Linked DNA regions of Arabidopsis thaliana. The protein of the gene in region 2 interacts with the protein of the main gene of each other region in a pairwise test. Each region holds a gene or a part of one and is shown on either strand. Other genes may lie near its edges.

Region 1 (4,914 bases), 1.0 Mb from region 2:
CAAGAACCTGAAGGCCTGCCTCTTGGTCAGAATCGGAGGCTACGTGTGCTTTGCCAAAGCATCCGAAAGCAAAAGGAATTCAAACAACCTTCTGATCATACACACCACAAAGAATGACAGTCAGACAGTAAAGAATATTCGTAGATAAAAAGGAATGCAGCTAGACACAAGCAAGATAAGCTTGAACCTACTTCACATCGTGAACTGACACTGGAAATGTTATTTCAACAGTGATAAGTGATAACCCTTTTTGTACATAGAGCATCCAATTTGGAAACATTGGGTACTATAACTAATAACAACACTTCAATGACCCAAAAACACTCTAATCTCAAACTCAAGAGTTTCTCAAAGCAGAGAGGAAAAATAAACGGACATGTATTAGATAGCAAAACACTCCGCCAAAGCTGAGTTTTATACTTATGGACGAGGGCGTGCTAATACATAGATTGTTTCTACTATTACGAGAGAAAAATCTACCACCATCCTTGTATCTTTTAACGCAAGTCTCAATTTTGGTGGTGGAGTCATATCTTTAACCCAAGTCTCAAAAAATGTAAAATCAAAACTTGCTCTGTATACAAAGTAACAAAATTTCTCACCTGATTGCCTAAATATATAAATATTAATATGAGAATGTTCCAAATGGATAGTATGACGTCAACTTTGCTACCACCCCCACCAATTCTTAGTGGGTGATCATCAACTTTATTAGGTTCCAGTGAAGTGGGTGTAAACTCAATGATTTGGGATTCTATTATCCTTTTGTTTAATCCACCACCTAAACCATTGTTAGGATGAGTAATGAAGCCTCTTAATTGTCTATTTCAGCTACAGAACAAATGCTATTTGTTTAGTTGGGTTCTCCATACAAAAGTTGAAAAACACTGTTCTCTACTTTGCAATAATAGACTTCATCACCGACTAGCTTTCACAGAAGCTTTCACCATATCCAGACCCCCAGATGATAATCCAAGGAAGTATCTGCTGCTCATACCAAACGGAAATGGCACCTGCAATGGAAGAATATCATATGGGAAAGAGTTAACAATTCATCAGTTGACAAGGAGAAATGTTTGTTTCCTTCTCTTTTGTAAAAAGATCAACTATTGAAGTATATTAGCAGTATCAGTATGTACCCCAATAGACCTCTGCCTTGCCATATCCTTGGTGTGACAGATAAGACGACTTTTGCACCTTGCCTCATAACTTGAACAGAAACGGCTTGTCCCTGGTTAGACTGAGCTTCAGCGGCAAGCCTTTGCAACAGGTTGTCACCACCCTCCACGTTGCCAAATTTCAAAACCTGATCTCCAAGCTGTAATCCACCCTCTGCTGCTGGAGATGACTCGTTTATCTCATCAACCATTGCAAAGGGAATACTAGTAACCACATCCACATCCATGGGACCGGAAGTAACACTGAAGCCAGATGTCTGCATGGAGGCAGATAAAGAATTTACTGCAGCACCTGACAAGCTTGTTTCTTCTGGACCTGCATCATTATCTATTCATAAGCTTTGTATCCACCCACGTCGTGCATATGGTTTCAAACTATAAAATGAACTTCTATTAATCATAGCCTTAAGAAAAAGGACCAGAATCAGAAAAGATGATTAAGCCAATCAAAGATTCCAAGCTGAAATTTGGAGCTTCTTCCTGTACAGTCATACCTGAATCTTTTGTGGATGAAGCTCTAGATGTAGGCCTCACTGAATGAAGAATTTGAATGTTCACATTTATCTTTTCCGTTATCTCCCCGTGCTCACTCCTTAACTCTGTGTGGGTGTAGAAACTATTTCAGATAAATAAACCAACTCAAAACGGAAGAAGTAGGGAAAAACTTAACAACTGGTTCACTGTAGAAGCTACACATCAAGCTTGATTCCTTTCAATCTCATTTCCAGCTCACAAAACTATGAATAAACCTCAAGCCAACTAGCCAAGACAAAAACCTAAACTACATATAATCAGTATGATTCTGCTATGTTTCCTAAGTTTAAACTAACCTTGGAGTTGTAGTCTCACCCTAACTATGGACTAATTCAGCACAAGAAAAGAGAAATCACCAGCAAGACGACGGCGCTCAGTTCTCACCATGGGAATGTCAATATCTTCCCGAGGAAATCCCTGCCATAAGCAAACGAATCAAAGGAGAAAATTAAGCAGAATTTTCGGTTAAGATTAGAGAAGAGTGAGGACGCAGATACAGTACCTCCGAGTCGATGAGATTGCCGGAGAGACCAGGACCACCGGGATTGCAGAGACGTTCGACAATAGAGTTCATCTCCGTCTCCATGGCTGTTCTCTTGTCCATTAGAGCCATCGTCTCCGCTTTCAGATTCGCGCCAACCATCTTCTCTTCTCTTCTCCAAGTCCGATCGATTCTTAATTCTTTCACCGAAATCAATCGCAACTTCTCTCTACCTTGGGACCGGAGCATGTCACCGTGAATATATTGTGGGCTTCATTAAAAGGCCCAATAGACCCATTCTTTAACCGGCATATGATCCTAACCGTACATTTATTAAATCCAACGGCTATAATCTCTTTGTTTCTACACTTCATATATTAATTTTACAGACAGCACAAGCAGCTTTAAAGCCAAGCAATATTTGTTTATCTCAACCGTAATGATTCCCATAAATTATAAACAATAATGTCTACAAGCTGCTCAATCATCAGTCAGCAGTGAAATCAGGCTCAGGAGGCTTCTGCAGCTTCACCAAATCCCTAATCTTTGTGTTCCGGTTCCTGTGAATGGTGCGAAGCGCATTAGCCGCAAACTTAGTGGCAAGAAATGCAGCCCCAATGGAGTATGAAGGTCCAGCGGTTGAGCTGGACACAGCCGCGGCCTCGGCTTCTGCCTCTTCCATTTTCTTCCTCTTGCAGTATCTACGCCAGGCAGCCTGGATGAAACAAGCAGCCCAAGTCCTCCATTGGTGAGAGTAAAACCTGAATGTGTGCTGCACTTGCCTGCTATGTAAGCGCCGGAACTGGCTTGCTACAAACTTCAGCTCCTCTGAGGTCAGCGCAAACGCCTCTACTTCTGTCAGAGCTTTCACGGTCCTCGTGGAAGACGGGAGATTTACACCTGATTTTGGATCCAATGCCCATGTCAGAAGCTCTTCCCCGCAGAATTCTCCTTCTTTCAGGAGACTGCGGTTGAAGAAACCGCTCCTGCCTCCATCTGTTGTCACACTCTCGAGGCGACCACGTATTATGAATAGCATCTCGTCTACAGGATCTCCTTCCCGCACTAAGTAGGTACTCTCTGTGAACAAGCATGGTTTCAGCCGCATACAGATCGCATCCAGCAGCTTGTCGTCCATGCTCTTAAACAATGGAACCTAATATTATGGTAAAAACGTATCATGAACCAAGCTAGCTTGTCGATGGTCAAGAGCTCGTTTTAGTTATGAGCCGACTGTTATTCAATGGGTCCTAGATGTTCAAAAGGGTGTGTGATCTATGTGAGAAGCTTGAATAAGGAACAGCGGGGAGAACTTACCCTTCGCACTAAAGCCAGACAGAGATGCCGCTTGATGTCTCTCCGGAGATCCTTGGGAAGATTCTGAACGAGATACTCTTCATCTACACCACGTGTCTCCAACCATTTATACTGGTCATAGCGCCTCACACGCTCCCTAAGATCTTGTGGTAACATTCTGTGATGCATCCATTGTTCTGAATCACGCCTCTTTACTCTCATTTCTTCAAGCCGGATGGTAAGAGATTGGAGATATGTCTGTCCCAAGATTGCAAAATGTTGTTAGATAGTCATTATGCAGAGGAAACAAATTATGCATGATGCTTCCATTGAAAGAGCTTACAAGAAATTTCTAATGATCACGAAAGTAGCTAAGGTTGCACCATAATTACTCACCTGCATGTTTCCAATGAGAAGAGCAAAGAGGATCAACCCAGAAATGGCGAGAGATATGGAAAATATAATCTCCATTGGGTATGTACTGGTTTCAAGCCCTTGTCCAAGTGTACTGTGGTGCAACAATGAGAAGTACTATATGAATATCTGAAACTCATAGACGCATAACTTTGATAAAGGAGCCGAGTTTAGTGAGAATTGGTAAGATCAAAGCAATAGTCTTTCGACTGAATAGTGATAGAACATGGTTACCTCAAGTTCTGAAGGCCCCACCACAAACAATAACAATATTTTACGATGAAGTTTTGGGACGAGACAATTCCAGACGATAAAGCCTGTGTATAAATCCCAAAGTCAAATGGAGGATTATTATCATCGAGGTCAGCTCGGCACTTGGACTTAAGAACAGATTCCTTGGCTCTGTTCCAAACAGCATAGCCGTCCATGTTTTGATTGCCACAGTACAAGAAATCTGTGCTGCAATTCCCTGCATCTATACAGGCCTCCTGCCAGCAGGCGTCGTTACGTTCTAAGGCTAAAAGGTACCAAAAAGCTCCAACTATCTGCAAGATACGAAACAGTGGCTCAATCAAAATAGCACTTACCAAGTCAATACTATTATTGAAGAGTAAATAAGCTATACAATCAGAGTTGCTCGTCATAAGAAACTTGACATTTGTGATCCCATGAGGCATGAACATCAACTAAGATAAAACGAAAGGTTGCATAGAACATCAAAGGTAAGCATAGACGGCTTAACCAGAAAGCTCAATAAGCTCCTTTACATGTCTTAGGAAACTAAACATTTGAACATAAGTTCATAACAGTGAAACGGATATGCAAATATTTCCTTGTTTTGCACTTTTGGTGCCACAGTCACATAACTCATGGTGAATGGGCAAGCATTGAATAGTACAAGCAACGTCTTAAAATGAAAAAGGTATATAAACTCACATGACTTGCAAGCATATATAAAAGCAGATAATAAGCGGCACCAGCCCAAGCCGTTTCAGCAAAGACACCTGCTGT
Region 2 (5,328 bases):
TGTGGGGGGGGGGGGGTCATACGACCACAATAGGCGTGTATTACCCACACCAAAAAAAAAAAAAAAATTGCTCTAAACCCCAAATTATATGGTGAAATTAAAGTTTCTGAGTGAAAAAAAAAAAAAAAAAGTTTCGGAGTGAGAAAGGTGGATATATTTTGTTGCACAGAAATAAAAATAGCGAGAGGAGTTTTGAGCAATTGCTCTTTCTAGAAAATAGAATTCTTCCGAAGGAAAAGTGGTCAAACTTGTATATATAAAGATATACCTTATATTTATTTTATTTTGTTCACAAAAGATCGACCTTGTTTAGATTCAGATATTGATACATAAAATGTGTAGTGTCCGTGCGACATGTCTATTAGTGGACTTCTTCGAATTAGCTATGGCCTATGGACTATGGAGTATGTTGGTGTAACTGTGGATCTCTCTTACATTCTTTTCAGAAATATGTTCGTCGTGTCTTATTATTAGCTGTCTATCTACAAAATATTTTGAATGTATTCTTGTTTGTTAAAGAATAAAAATAAAAATATAAGCTCTAATTGATATGCATATATTTAATTAGTTGTGTCTCTTCTGATAACCGATATTGTAGACCACCCCTTATGACACAATAATGCTGATAAAATATTTAAAAAATAAAAATAAAATATTCGAGAATTATTGTCATGCATCCAATGATTCAACAAGATTTTATCATTTAAGCTCTAATTGAGTATTCTTGAAATAGATTACCCACCAAATTAAAGTGAGTGAGAATTACTTCAAGAATACCACAAGTGGTGGATCATTGTGCTGTTATACTTTATATAGCCGAAAAGTACTAGAACAGAACAAGATGATACATTATTGATTAAATGGGACTCTTGTGTAGCAAAGATGAATATCCAAATTCAGATTAATATTTGAAGTCTACATATTTTCAATCTCTAGCAAAGATCCATATGTCACTGACTACTAAACTAATATTATACTTGATTACTCTTCTTTGGTTTATAAAAGTTATTATTGAGTATGCTTTCTAAAAGAGTTGTTATGATATATTTAATAAATGATATTTTGTTTAATTACGCAGTAAAAGAAACTGTAAAACTTTCTATTCTTTTGTCAGAGGAAAAATATTAGTGGGTGCAAATTGTTAGATAGTGGAGTTGAACTCCTCACTTTGAAGGCTTTGCGGGAGAATCTCAAACAACTTTGCCACTTAACTGATTTTTCTAAAAACTTTTTTTGGTTCAAGAAGATATGCTTGTAAGAACTTTACAGTAGAGTTTAACGTGTTATCTCACTAATTAAAATCAATAAAATCACATGGGAATACTTTTTGCCAGTATTTTTTGATCATTTGTTAATAAACTATATACCAAGTTGTGATCTTTTGTGTGTGTTGGTTTTATCAATTTCCTAAGAATTATAAATATGCACTATATCTTGTCAGAGCTTATCTTCGACAACAATTTTAGGTTTCCAACTGCTCGATTTTACATTCTTGTGCTTTGCAATGGGTTGATTTATCTTATTGCATCGGGAATCAGAAAGGATCCAACATGTACCACAACCACATGAGATCTTCACGTCAGTCCCTCGTAGTTTACATACGTGCAATAACTTTTTTACTAAGAACTTAAAATCCAAAATATAATATGTTCGTATAGCGGATGTTGGAAGACATATATATTAATTCATACACAAGGTTTTTAGACCCTTTTAACTTTCTATCCTTTTTTTTTTTTTTATTACAATTCTACACATATAGTTTGATATAAGGACGAAGACTTTTTTTTGATAAAGGATGTAAACTTATAACTAAAGGTGAGCACAAACTTGTGTTTTCATATATGTCGTCCTGTTTTTAATTTCAAACCTCATCCCATATAAAATTAATATCCAACAAAAAATTTGTATCACAAAAAGCAAATTTTTGCTAACAAAAGAAGAGTTTTTGAATTATCAAAGAAAAAAAGATTTTTGTATCAAAATAAATTCGTCTTGGATCACAACGGTCCGGTTCACCAGTCCAAATAACTTCACCATTGTAGAGGATACTTGATCCCAAAAGAAGTGATATATATTTTAATTTGGTAGACCTTTTTTTTTGCTAAGATATTTGACCCCAAAAAAATGTATATCACCCCAAAAGACGTTTCTGTAGACTTATAATTATTATTAGACCGCAATCATTTTTTCTTGGTATATCAAATCCTCCAGACATACATTTATCAGTGATCTTACAATCACATTTTTTTTTGTTAAATGGTTTTTCCTTGTTTAATAGTTAATCAATGATCATACTAGCTTCCCTTAATCATACTAGCTATAAAATTAAAGATGAAAAAAGGTTGTGCCTTTAAAATCAAATCCTCCAGACCTATGCTATAAAATATCCGATACATTTTAAAATATAATGTCATAGTCATGGACTCATAGTTCAACCTTCACTAGTATTAAAAGTCAGTAATATTATTTTGAAAGAATACAAATAGCAATAGTATAATGATAGTAGCATTAATTATTGATTGAATGAATCAATTATTATTTTAGCTGAACAATTTTTGTGAACACCGTATCTCCTAGAATCGATAAAAACTTTTACCCAAAATCTCAATGTTCCTTGATCTCGCAAGAAACAAACTAAAACGGACAAGAGCATCAGAACAGTGTCATCACTCATCAGTATATGCATTTCCGTGTGACCGCGAACTCTGACAGATGCTCAACTGATCCAATGACAACACTGCACGTGGCATTTCCCCACAGTGACTTAGTGGCCTGTGTATAGAAAGATTTAAAGAACGTGTAATCCCAACCATTCCTCCATCAAAGATATATCGATCATTTCTTTTTGACAGCAATAATTTTTAATCATTTTATCTGTCTCTCTGTTCTTTCTCTCTCCCGCAGTCCCTCTCGTAATTTTGCTATATAAGAGCACCTCTATAATCTGTGTGAGACAGAATTATAAAAAAAAAACATTGATAGTTTTGTATCTAAACTCAATATATAATGATAACACGTTCACGTGTTCATCGTCAAAAGAGTGTCTCAGTGAGTACAATCTTCAGGTGTCTTCTAGTTTTGATCAGACGCTCTATTCAATTCTCTTAATTAGTCATATCTTTCTTTCTTTTTTCCTCGTTTCGTGTTAATTTTATTTTAAAACAAAGGATTAAAGAGTCGTTCTTTCTTTTGGTAACATGGAGCCTTAATGATCCTTTGTTAGCTCTAGCTAGGATTTTACGTACTACTTAGGGTATTCAAACTAAAATAAAATCAAGAAGAAGAGCAGAGAGATGGTGAGGACACCATGTTGCAAAGAAGAAGGAATAAAGAAAGGAGCTTGGACTCCTGAGGAAGATCAAAAGCTTATTGCTTATCTTCACCTACATGGTGAAGGTGGATGGCGTACTCTCCCTGAAAAAGCTGGTATATATTTTTTTTTGTCATATATAGGTTTAAATATTAGCTACTTTTTAATTAAAAGAAATTATTGTTATAGTGTGTGTAAATGTATATAGGATTGAAGAGATGTGGAAAGAGTTGTAGATTGAGATGGGCTAATTACTTAAGACCCGACATTAAGAGAGGAGAGTTTAGTCCTGAAGAAGACGACACTATCATCAAGCTTCATGCTCTTAAGGGTAACAAGTAAGTATCTCTTTTTTTCTTTCTTTCTTAATTCAGTTTGGATTAGATAATCATTACTATATGTGTAATGTTGCATGAAAATACTTTACTTTTCATCTCAAATGCCAACCATAACTTTTTAAATCTTTTTTGATAAAGATTCCAAATCTTCATTAGAATAAAATAATATTTGTTAGTATTATTTTATTGATAGTTGTGTTTGATTATTGAAGGTGGGCCGCAATCGCCACTAGCTTGGCGGGACGAACTGACAACGAAATAAAAAACTATTGGAACACAAATCTCAAGAAGCGGTTGAAGCAAAAAGGCATCGATGCAATCACTCACAAACCGATCAATTCAACCGGTCAAACCGGTTTCGAACCAAAAGTAAATAAACCGGTATATTCATCCGGTTCCGCTAGGCTTCTTAACCGCGTCGCAAGCAAATACGCGGTTGAATTAAACCGGGACTTACTGACCGGGATCATCAGTGGAAACTCCACCGTCGCCGAAGATTCACAAAACTCCGGCGACGTTGATTCTCCGACCTCCACATTGCTCAACAAAATGGCGGCAACATCAGTTTTGATCAACACTACGACTACATATTCCGGCTTCTCCGACAACTGTTCTTTCACTGATGAATTCAACGAATTCTTTAACAATGAAGAGATCTCCGATATTTACACGACTGTCGATAATTTTGGGTTTATGGAAGAGTTAAAGAGTATTTTAAGCTACGGCGATGCCAGCGCCGGAGTTATTGAAAATTCGCCGGAGGTCAATGTAGCTGATGCAATGGAGTTCATTGATTCCTGGAACGAAGATGACAATATGGTTGGAGTCTTTGTCTGACGAGTCAGACTAAAATCAATCTTACGTTGGTTTTTTCTTTAATAAGCTGTGATAGATTCGTGTAATCGTCACGTAGTCAAAATAATGTGCTGTTGTAAAAATTAATAATAATAAATATTTCTACTTACATGAATTTGTTTACAAATCCGGAAAAAAACACGTTTTTTACGAAAATACATATGTTTTGTTAATTTCATATGACATGCCACTAACGGAATTGATAAGTCTGTTACACATTTTTAGAGTCTCATAAGTCATAAACTATATAAAAATTTTAAAATGACATATACTGACCACCGTTTTCTATCAAAACAATAAAATTATTTCCCAATTATTGGTATAAAAGAGCTTTTAAAAATCCTGATTTGACAAAAAATATTATTGCGGATAGAGTCCAGGGCTAATTCTTCTTTTTTGCTTACATATAATTAATTCTAGATTTTTAATGATGATATCTAACGAATGATGTAGATTAATCTGCCCGTGGTCAATTTTTGTTTCCGTTACCATTAACAAAATTGTGTATGCAGAAGAGCGTTTAACAGAAAAAAAAACATTAAATTTTGTTCGAGGCACTAAAATTAAACAATTACATATTGTTGTTTGGACTCATACCATTTAAAACTAATGTTTTGCACACCGTGAATTTTATTGGTGATACATTGGAAAGAGAAAAAGCAATAACAAATAAAGAGATAAATAAATGGTATTACTACTTTTGGTACCACATATTTTTTTTGGTGCAAAACTTTAGGTACCACTATAATTTAAAGTTTTTAACATGCAATTTTGAACCTAGCGATTTTGACCAAGCTAACAACATTTGACCTACACAATCTCCAA

The links.
Region 1: the proteins of MYB34 (region 2) and AT5G57950 interact in a two-hybrid assay, tested with the Arabidopsis thaliana proteins (one large-scale study listed by BioGRID).

Annotation. Positions count from the first base shown.
Region 1 is NC_003076.8:23,458,206-23,463,119, reverse strand, and holds AT5G57950 (26S proteasome regulatory subunit), read right to left. Parts: upstream 2,448-4,914; 5' UTR 2,443-2,447; coding exon 2,215-2,442; intron 2,130-2,214; coding exon 2,069-2,129; intron 1,778-2,068; coding exon 1,673-1,777; intron 1,495-1,672; coding exon 1,140-1,494; intron 1,014-1,139; coding exon 992-1,013; 3' UTR 732-991; downstream 1-731. Other genes in the region: CNGC5 (cyclic nucleotide gated channel 5), read right to left, coding at 2,681-3,349, 3,511-3,747, 3,886-3,997, 4,138-4,448, 4,840-4,914.
Region 2 is NC_003076.8:24,491,736-24,497,063, forward strand, and holds MYB34 (myb domain protein 34), read left to right. Parts: upstream 1-2,555; 5' UTR 2,556-3,293; coding exon 3,294-3,426; intron 3,427-3,518; coding exon 3,519-3,648; intron 3,649-3,860; coding exon 3,861-4,485; 3' UTR 4,486-4,636; downstream 4,637-5,328. UniProt on the Arabidopsis thaliana protein: Transcription factor involved in tryptophan gene activation and in indole-3-acetic acid (IAA) and indolic glucosinolates (IG) biosynthesis. Acts as a direct transcriptional activator of both Trp synthesis genes and Trp secondary metabolism genes.